3 linked regions of the Mus musculus genome follow. The protein of the gene in region 1 purifies or fractionates together with the protein of each later gene. This does not show direct contact. Links are inferred from orthologs where the notes say so. Each region holds a gene or a part of one and is shown on either strand. Other genes may lie near its edges.

Region 1 (3,159 bases):
GAACGTATTGTCTTTTGCATGGCTGTGAGTTCAAATCTACTCTGCTATTAATTATCTCTGACCACAGCAAGTTACTCTCTGCAACGTTAAGTTCCTCATATATATGGTGTCTGGGTTAAATGAGATCTTCCTAGAAAGACGACTGTGAGTTAGTTCACACATGCACGTTTGCCTTCTATACCTGCTCTCCTCGCCTTCCAGCAGCTTCCTGTAGGTGGCGATCTCAATGTCCAGGGCCATCTTAACATTGAGCAGATCTTGGTATTCACGAAGGTGACGAGCCATCTCTTCCTTCATGTTTTGGATCTCATCCTGCAGGCGGCCAATAGTGTCCTGGTAGTTAGCAGCTTCAAGGGCAAAATTCTCTTCCATCTCACGCATCTGGCGCTCCAGGGACTCGTTCTGCAGAAAGCAAAAATGGCTTCTCATGTGATTTCCCAGAAAACCCGGCTGTCCCCCAAAATATTCATAAATAAGGTACAGTAATTCTTTTAATGGTAGGTGCCCACTAGCTTTGAACAGAGAACACAAGCACCCAGTTCCATGTTTTGCTTTGATGAAATAACACTTTTACATGCAGCCTAGCTTAACTGTGAATTTATAATCCCCCTGCCTCATTCTCCAGAGTGATGAGGTTACAGGAGTAACCTCTAAAACCCCTCTTATTACAATCAATAACATATGTAAACTAAGACTTTCAAGGTACTCATTAAATAATCCTTAAAACTATCTTGATAATTCATTCTCTTTGGATAAGTGTGTGTGTGTGTGTCCGTGTGTGTTTAATTTATTTGTACAGGTCTCATTGTTAACCTAGTCAGCAGAATAGTACTGAGCACGGTATTTCCCCCCCTTTGCTGCTGTAGTACTCACAGTGCCTTTAAGGGCATCCACTTCACAGGTGAGTGACTGCACCTGTCTCCGGTACTCGTTTGACTCCTGCTTGGCCTGGCGCAGGGCATCGTTGTTCCGGTTGGCAGCCTCAGAGAGGTCAGCAAACTGTCAAGAAGGAATCAGAAATAGAGGTTGTTTTTGGTTGTGAGCTTAGTCGAAGAAGAAGAAGAAGAAGAAGAAGAAGAAGAAGAAGAAGAAGAAGAAGAAGAAGAAGAAGAAGAAGAAGAAGAAGAAGAAGAAGTAGAAGAAGAAGAAGAGGAGGAGGAGGAGGAGGAGGAGAAGGAGGAGGAGGAGGAGAAAGAAAAGAAAAGAAAAGAAAAGAAAAGAAAAGAAAAGAAAAGAAAAGAAAAGAAAAGAAGTAGAGATTGTTCACTTCCATGAGTTTTCACTCACTTAGAACAAAGAGGCATCTTCATCCTGCCTGTGTGTTTCCTAGAATTTGTCTGAACGTCTTTTGGAAAACCAGGGAAAGAGAAGCAGAACACCAGCATTGCGTTTTCAAACAGTATTTGCTCTACTGCAATGCTTTCCAAGTGGTGGCAGTCAAGAGCATGAGAGTAAGGTATTCTTTGAAGTCAGGGAAGACAATGAGTGGAAAGGGAGTCTGCCATACTAAAGGAAACTGTGAATGGAGATGAGGGGGAAGGGGTGCTGTGAAACAACAATGGCGGTCCAAGCTTTAAGCCAGCTTCTGAGTAGAGCTGGAGGTTACTAATGGAATTAGAGGCACGTGTCTGAGAGCTAGAGGTTCTTGCCACTCTGGCTCATTTCATACCTTGGACTTGTACCATTCCTCGGCCTCCTGGAGGTTCTTGGCAGCCACGCTTTCATACTGCTGGCGCACATCACGCAGGGCAGCAGTGAGGTCAGGCTTGGAAACGTCCACATCGATCTGGACATGCTGTTCCTGAATCTGGGCCTGCAGCTCCTGGATCTCCTGGAGAAAGAACAGACACAGAGAGGTCGTAGACTACACGGTCGCAGCTTTGTTCACCCACAGAAATTGGTGTCACTTACTTCATCGTGCAGTTTCTTCAAAAAGGCAATTTCTTCCTGCAAGGATTCCACTTTCCGTTCAAGGTCAAGACGTGCCAGAGAAGCATTGTCAACATCCTATTTCGAAAAGAGAAAAGATGATGTGGAGGGTGATAAAGTCTGTCCTTTATCTAACTTATTTATATTAATCCCTTTTTCACTTTATGTTGTGTATAAAGGTGTTTTGCCTGCATGTATATAAGTATGCCACGAGCATGTGGTATCCACAAAAGCAATAAGAGAGCAAAAGATGCCCTGGAACTGGAGAAGAGTGTGGGCAGCCCTGTGGGTTCTGCAAATTGAATTCCAGGTGCCCTAAAAGAGTAGCCAGTGCTTTTAACCATTGACCTGTCTCTACAGCCCCTTATTTATTTATTTATTTATTTATTTATTTATTTATTTATTTGTTCAAAAATTAACCATGTAAACCCATTCTCCTTATTGTAGAAAAGGTGCTGAAAATTTCATGACCCTTGATAAATTTATAAATCATTTAGGGTCACATTCCAATATTCATTCTTAGCTTTAAAAATGAATAGGAAACCATTTGGTTGTATTGAAGCTAACTAGTAGACAAGTTAAAAATAAACACATGTATATGCACAATGACATGGTATGGTGAACTATATGGAAAAATTCATTTTCAGTTTTAAACCTCTGTCACATTTAATAAGTCTGTAATTTTGTGATGATAGTAGTTGATGAGATTGTCCAACTTCATGTTTGCTTGAGTACACGTAATATAAAAATGAGAGCTTCAAAAATAAAATTAAAATGTTTTCTAAAGTGAGGCTTAGTAGTAAAGAATGCTGTTCTTTCAGAGGATTTTAGTTTGGTTCCCAGCACCCACATGGAGCAGTTCATGAAGGTTTATGATTCCAACTCCAGGGCATCAGGTGCCCTCTTCTGGCCTCATGCAAGCCTGCAGAAATGTCCTATACACTCACACAGACACAAACACATTACATATTTTTTAAAAATCATTTAAAATTGAGCTCAGAAGGGTTAACATATATGCATGCTCTTTTTTGTTTCCTGTATTCAAACCTTCAGATGCTTATCTTTGGAATTTAGAATAAGCACTCAGTTATCTGGCATCCAGGTTCCCAGGCTAGCCTCGTATCAAGTAGTAATTCATTGTTCAAAATCCAGGTCTTGCATTTGCAGAGATATGCTCCTCGGGCAAGAAGGAAAAGAAATATAATCCTGAACTATATTGTTTTGCCTTCT
Region 2 (3,651 bases), on another chromosome or scaffold:
CAGATCTTTGTGAGTTTGAGGCCAGCCTGGTCTACAGAGTGAGTTCCAGGACAGTCAAGGCTATACAGAGAAACTGTCTCGAAAAAAAAAAAAAAAAAAAAAAAAAAAGAAAGAAAGAAAGAAAGAAAGAAAGGAAGAAAGAAAAGAAAAAAGACAACAATACAAACAAACAAATAAACAAACCAAAAAGGCTGATATAAACAGAGTAAACAGACCACAGCTTGGACTAGGGTCCTAATGGTGGAATGGAGAAGACTTCCTGTGGTACAGGTCAGTTTGCGGCAGGCTTCTAGCTAACTGACCTGTCTCAAGGTGAGGAGAGCTATAGTGTAGGGCAGCTGAGCTACGGTCAAGTATGATGACCTGAGTTCCAACCCCAGAACCTGCACTGGAAGGAGAGAAGTGCCTCTTACAAGCCGCTCTCTGACCTCTACTGTGGCACGAACGCCTCCATCACAACACACACACATGTACACATTAAATAAAATGCAAAAAGAATATACATTTGAAGCTGATCTCAACAATCATGTCATTTATTCATTTGTTGTTTTGTTTGTTTGTTTTAATAAAAGGACTCAATGTTGCCCTGGCTGGCCTGGGAACTTGCTATGTAGATCAGACTGGCTTAGAACCTACAGGGACCCCCCTTGCTTCTGCATGGGATTAAAGGCATGCATCAGAGAGGATGTAGATTTTGATTATCTTCATCTGAATGTGAATGATGGAGAAAAGCTATTCAGCAAGATTCGCAACATTAGTGTTTGGAGTCCATACGCATAGATTGTATGTGTGCACACACATATGATTCTGTACACATACAGACTGATTCTGAACTCTCTCTGCTGGTGAGAATGACCCGGAACCTCTGATTCTCCTGCCTCTACCTCCTGAGTGTTGAGGTTACAGGAATAGGCGCGTACTATCTACCACAGCAGGTTTTATGTGGTGCTAGGGATCAAGGCCAAGACCTCCGACATGTTCCATGAGCACTCTACCCACTGAGCTGCGGCCTCAGCTATTACCTGTGTGTGTTTGTGTGTTTGCACAATGTGTGCGCGTGTGTAGAGGCCAGAGGTCAATTTTGTATGTCCTCAACGGTTTTTCATAGGATCCCTCGCTGGGTCTGGAGTTCACCAGTTAAGCTACAGGTTCTCCTGCCACTGCCATTCAGTGCCAGGCTTACAGGTGTTACCCCAGGGCTGTGGGGGCCCACACTCAGGCTCTCGTGTTTGTGTGTGGAAAGCAGGTACTTTACTGAACCGTCTTCTCCTCCCTTTGCGGTTTTTGGTTGGTTGGTTTTGTTTGCTTTTAGATTTTATTTATTTAAAGGTTTATTTATTATTATATCTAAGTACACTGTAGCTGTCTTCAGATGCACCAGAAAAGGGTGTCATATCTCATTACGGGTGGTTGTGAGCCACCATGTGGTTGCTGGGATTTGAACTCAGAACCTCTGGAAGAGCAGTCGGTGCTCTTAACCACTGAGCCATCTCTCCAGCCCTGTTTGTTTGTTCTTTTCAGACAGAGTTTCCCTCTATAGCCCTGGCTGTCCTGGAACTCACTCTGTAGACCAGGCTGGCCTCAAACTAGATTTAATTTTTTAAATTTGTTTTTTGCATGTATGCAGGGAGGGATGCCTGGAGTTAGAAGACAGAGTTGCAGGTGGTTGTGCTGGGACCCGAACTCTGGTCCTTTGCAGGGGCAGCCAGTGCTTTTTTACCACTAAGTCACCTCTCCAGTCTCAACCCTGCCACTTTAATGCCTACTCATTTATTGTGTGTGTGTGTTTCTGGGACAACCTGTAGAAATCAGTTCTCTCCATTTGGAAGCCAGGGATTGAACTCAGTTTATCAGATTTGGTGGCAAGTGCCCTTATCTGCTGAGCCACTCACTGAATCCCCCCTATTTTGTCAGGGAGTGGCAGATTCTCACAAAACCAGGTTGGCCTTCAGCTCACTAAGTAGCTGAGGCTGGCCTTGCATTTCTGACCCCCCTCCCTCAGCCTGTTGGGATTACAGGCAGGCACCAGCACGGTTGTCTTTCCTTGTTTTACGGGCACAGTCTCTCTATGTGGTCCCAATTGCCCCTGAACATGTGTAGAACTGTGGAACACCCAGCTGTGTCTGAGAATAGCGTCCTCTCCATGAAGTGATGTAAGCAGAGACTAGCCAGTGATGCTGTGGTGTCAGGGAATTCGAATGGTGGGCAGTGTGTGGAAGAGGCAGACTGGGGAGGGGAGTAGTGCCTTAGGGTTTCATTGCTGTGAACCATGGCAACTCTCATAAAGGAATACGTTTAACCAGGGCTGGCTTACAGTTTCAGAGGTTCAGTCCATTTATCATCATGGCGGGAAGCACGGCAGCATCCAGGCAGGCAGGGTGCTGGAAGAGCTGAGAGTTCTCCTTTTTGATTCGAGGTGGGGCAGATGGCGGGTCTCTTCCTCTTCTACATAGCTCAAAACCCACCCCTACACACACTTCCTTTAACATGGCCACACCTCCTCCAATAAGGCCACACCCTCTAATTAATAATGCCCCAAGGGCCAAGCATATTCAATTCCCCATAAGTAGCTAAGAGAACCTGCTGCAGCTAACCGTGAGACAGAGGCCCTGTTGACACTCAGTGGAGCACAGGCTGCTCTTTCACGGCCATCATCTCTCTTGCAGGGAACCACACACCGAGGCGAGTTTTCCTCTTCAGGAGTCAGAATCCCCGAAGGAGGCCAAGACCTTTAACCCAGAGGCCACTCTGTCTTTGGAGGGGACTGTGAACCTAGAGGACATTCTCTATCTGGGGGCATCGGGGGACTTTGAAGAGAGTTTTTATGAGGAAGAATATGAGAAGCCAGCACTGACACTGTTTATCGACGAATCGAGGCAGCCAGACGAGGCGCTGGGCCTAGAAGAGCCCGTGCGCCCAGAGGAGATGCTGTCTGTGGAGGAATCCGTGACGCCAGATGAGGTGCAAATTTCAGAGCAGCCTGTGGAGCCAGCTAAGAGCCCAACTGCTTGTGAGGGAGAAATGGTGGCCACGGAGGGAAGCCTGCCTGCTCAACCGATTCCCAACACCGAGGAGGATCCCCTCAGCGTGGAGGACCTGGAGCGGCTGGAAGCTCGTTTCCAGCAGTGTGTACAAGCCGTGTCCCAGCTGGAAGAGGAGAGGGACCAGCTAATCCACGAGCTCGTGCTACTCCGGGAGCCAGCCCTGCAGGAGGTGCAGCAAGTCCACCAGGACATCCTGGCTGCCTACAAGCTCCACGCACAGGCAGAGCTGGAGAGGGACGGGCTCAGGGAGGAGATCCGGACGGTGAAGCAGAAGCTGTTCAAGGTGACCAAGGAATGCGTGGCTTACCAATACCAGCTGGAGTGCCGTCAGCAGGATGTGGCTCAGTTTGCCGACTGCAGGGAAGCGCTGACCACTCGGGCAGCCCAGCTCTCGGAAGAACTGACCCAGCTCCGAGATGCCTGTCAGAAGCAGAAGGAGCAGTTACAGCAACAACTAGAAGCACCCCCGACCCAGAGCGATGGGCACTTTCTCCAGGAGAGCCGACGGCTGTCGACACAGTTTGAAAATCTCATGGCCGAGAGCCGCCAGGGCCTGGAGGAGGAGTATGAGCCTCAGCTGCTCCGGCTCCTGGAAAGGAAAGAGGCC
Region 3 (3,581 bases), on another chromosome or scaffold:
GAGCTCTGTGGTGAAAGAGGAGCAGATGGCTGAGAGCAAGCTAGAGAACGAGAGTCAGGACTCCAGGAAGTCTCTTGAAGATGAGAGCCAGGAGACCTTTGGGTCTCTGGAAAAAGAGAATCTAGAGTCCCTGAGGTCTCTAGCAGGACAGGACCAAGAGGAACAGAAACTCGAACAAGAGACCCAGCAGCCACTGAGGGCTGTAGAAGATGAGCAGATGACAGTGAACCCTCCAGAAAAGGTGGATCCAGAGTTACCAAAGCCTCTTAGAAATGACCAGGAAGTAGTCAGATCTCTTGACAAGGAGAATCAAGAGTCACTAGTGTCACTGAATGAAGGAGGTATGGAGACAGTGAAGTCTTCAGAAACAGAGAACATAGAATCACTGGAGACTGTGGGAGAGTGCCTGGGAAGAAGGAAGTCTGTAGATACTCAAGAGCCATTGTGGTCTACGGAAGTGACTAGTGAGACAATAGAACCTCTAGAAGATGAGACCCAAGAACCACTGGGGTGTGTGGATGAGAACCAAGAGGTGCTGACACCCCTTGAAAGGGAGAGTCAAGAACTGAGATCTCTGGGCAAGTGGAACCCAGAGACTGTGGAATCACCAGGAGGGGTGGAGGACAGTCAGCAGTGCCTGGAAGTGGAAGAGGGCCCGGAGAGGGAGCAGCACCAAGAGTCTCTGAGGTCTCTGGGAGAGGTGGAATGGGAGCTGCCTGGATCTGGAAGTCAACAGAGGTGGGAGGATGTGGTGGAGGATGGAGAAGGTCAGGAAGCATCCCTGGGGGCTACAGGAGTGGAAACTGAGGATAAGGCAGAGTTGCATCTGAGGGGCCAAGGTGGGGAGGAGAAAGCTGTAGAGGAGGGAGAGCTGCTGCAGGATGCTGTGGGGGAGGCCTGGAGTCTGGGGAGCTCGGAGCCCAAGGAGCAGAGGGTCCCTGCTGAGCCCCTCGATGACCTGGAGGGACAACCAGAGCAGACGGGAACCCTAGAGGTCCCAGTTGCTCAGGGAATGCCAGAGGCAACAGAGCAAGATGAGGACAGAGCCCAAGCAGGTGAACAAGACTCCGTAGAGGTGACCCTTGGGTTAGAGGCTGCCAGAGCTGGACTGGAACTCGAGCAGGAAGTGGTAGGGCTAGAGGACCCAAGGCATTTCGCCAGGGAGGAGGCCATTCACCCATCCCTGGGGGAGGAAAGTGTGAAGGCAAAGATAGATCAGGGCTTGGAAGAGCCTGGAAAGGAACCAAAAGAGGCAGGTGCTCTGGACTCAGGCATCCCTGAATTACCCAAGACTAGCAGTGAGACTCTGGAATGCAAGGGCTGGGAAGAGTCTGGGGAGGGCTGGGGAGAAGAGGAGGCCTCGCTGGAGACCTCAGACCATGAGGGCAGCCATGCCCCTCAGCCCAGGCCCCCTAAGACAGAGGAAGATGAGGGTCTACAGGCAGCGCTAACAGTCCCTGGTCCCAAGCTCCTGGAACCCTGTTCACCCATCCCGATCTTGACAGATGCCCATGAGCTGCAGCCCCAAGCTGAGGGGATCCAGGAGGCTGGGTGGCAGCCGGAAGCTGGGACTGAAGCACTGGGAAGAGTAGAAGATGAGCCAGAGTTTGGTCGTGGGGAGATTCCTGAGGGCCTCCAGGATTGGGAGGAGGGCAGAGAAGACAGTGAGGCAGATGAGTTAGGGGAAACTCTCCCTGACTCTACTCCCTTGGGCCTCTACCTGAAGTCTCCTGCCTCCCCAAAGTGGGAGCAAGCTGGAGAACAGAGGCTTTTCCCTCAAGGGGAGGCCAGGAAGGAAGGCTGGAGTCCTGCTGCCCTGGCTGCCCAGGGTCTCAGTGACCCACCAGAGGAAGAGCAGCAAGGCCATGACTCTGACCTCTCATCTGAGGAATTTGAGGACCTAGGGACTGAGGCCTCTCTTCTTCCAGGGGTTCCCAAAGAGGTGTCCGATCATCTGGGCCAAGAGCCCCCCGTACTGCAGCCTGCATGCTGGGATCAGGGTGGGGAGTCTGATGGGTTTGCTGATGAGGAAGAGAGTGGGGAAGAGGGAGAGGAAGAAGATGCTGATGAAGAAGAAGGAGCAGAGTCAGGGACTCAGTGGTGGGGGCCAGGGCCCTCTGGTGGAGGTGTCAAGGTCCAGGATGTCACCCAGAGAGGGGACCTGGAACATGAATCTGTGGGTGACAGTGGCCTCTGGGATGATGGCTTGAGTGGGGCTGCAGCTAATGTTCTTGTAACTGCCCTAGAGACGGTGTCTCAGGACAGTGCTGAGCCTTCCGGGTCAGAGGGGTCTGAGTCTGCTTCCTTGGAGGGGGAGGAAGGTCAAGCGATTGACCATTTAGATGCCCCCCAAGAGGTGACTAGCGTGGTCCCAGGGGCAGGAGACACCTTTGATATCAGTGGCCAGGGCCCCAACCTGGAGTCAGAGCAAGTGAATGGGAGGATGGAGAATGGACTAGAGCAGGCTGAGGGTCAGGTGGTTCTGCATGGGGACGAGGATCAAGGCATCCCTTTACAGGAACAGGGTACCCTCAAGGCCCCTTTAGTAGGGTCTCCTGTGCATCTAGGCCCAAGCCAGCCGCTGAAGTTCACTCTGAGTGGGGTAGATGGAGACTCCTGGTCCTCAGGGGAAGATTAGAAACTGCCCCTCTGGCACTGAGGACTTAGTGGGGGGTGGGGGGAATGTCCCTCCCTGCTCTGGGCCAGCACTCTTAGCTTTGATAACTTGACCTGTGGTATCTCTCGTGGAGAGGTGTGGCTGGCTGAGACAGGTGAGATCCTGCCTGGATCACCCTGAAGGCTCAGGTCAGCTGAGCCTATAGTTCAACGCCCCCTTTCTTCTGTGGCTCACCTGCTGGAAGAGGCTTGGGCCCAGAGCTTTCCCACGAGACTGCTCTGGCCAGAGCTTGCTAGCCCTGCCTGTCTACAGTAGCACCACCTGCACAGGGTCTGGTGCATGCCCAGAGGAGCAGCAATGATGAGTGACTCTCATCATCTCAGCCTGCTGAGATCTTGTTTCTCTCTTCCTCCCTTGAATAAAGCTGTATCCCTACCTACAATGTCTGGCTGCTTTCTTCTAGCCTTCAGGGACTCTTCTGACTGAGAAGCAATGGAGTGGAGAGGCTGGGAGAGGACGCATGAGCTAGGCCTGGGGGAGAGGAGGGGAAGGGGCCGCCTCTCAGGGAGGCCAGGTTGTCATCTCTCCCATAGCTCTGATTACAGGGCCCTCTCACTGAATGTCCTCCTACCTAGCCCCTCTGTGACTCCAGCATAATTAGCCCCCTGGCTCCCAAACCCAAACAGTTGTCTAGCCTGTGATGAGTGACTGGGCTGGAGTGGGGGCAGGGAGGAAAGAGGCCACGGCCAGCTTTAGCCTGGTCAACAGCCTCAGGTCAACAGTTTCTCTGAACCGCAAACCCAGCCCCACACAGAGGCAGCTTTGGGTGGCTGCCTGGGGCAGGGAGAACAGGAGGGGATTGGAGGAAGCCTCTGCTTTGGGCAACTGAGGCCTCCCATGGCACTGAAGCAGGAGAGAGGGAAGAAGTGTGGATAGCAGGGCCAGGAGAAGGTAAGAGAGCTGC

The links.
Region 2: the proteins of Vim (region 1) and Sync purify together in Homo sapiens (affinity purification with mass spectrometry; 3 studies listed by BioGRID and IntAct, counting the BioPlex papers as one, with this or other methods). This does not show direct contact. The link is inferred for Mus musculus from reciprocal best matches to the Homo sapiens genes VIM and SYNC.
Region 3: the proteins of Vim (region 1) and Nes purify together in Homo sapiens (affinity purification with mass spectrometry; 3 studies listed by BioGRID and IntAct, counting the BioPlex papers as one, with this or other methods). This does not show direct contact. The link is inferred for Mus musculus from reciprocal best matches to the Homo sapiens genes VIM and NES.

What each region holds. Positions count from the first base shown.
Region 1 is NC_000068.7:13,577,261-13,580,419, reverse strand, and holds part of Vim (vimentin), read right to left. Parts: intron 2,008-3,159; coding exon 1,912-2,007; intron 1,832-1,911; coding exon 1,670-1,831; intron 1,000-1,669; coding exon 874-999; intron 403-873; coding exon 182-402; intron 1-181. UniProt on the Homo sapiens protein: Vimentins are class-III intermediate filaments found in various non-epithelial cells, especially mesenchymal cells. Vimentin is attached to the nucleus, endoplasmic reticulum, and mitochondria, either laterally or terminally.
Region 2 is NC_000070.6:129,290,561-129,294,211, forward strand, and holds part of Sync (syncoilin), read left to right. Parts: intron 1-2,666; coding exon 2,667-3,651.
Region 3 is NC_000069.6:87,977,393-87,980,973, forward strand, and holds the end of Nes (nestin), read left to right. Parts: coding exon 1-2,638; 3' UTR 2,639-3,059; downstream 3,060-3,581. UniProt on the Homo sapiens protein: Required for brain and eye development.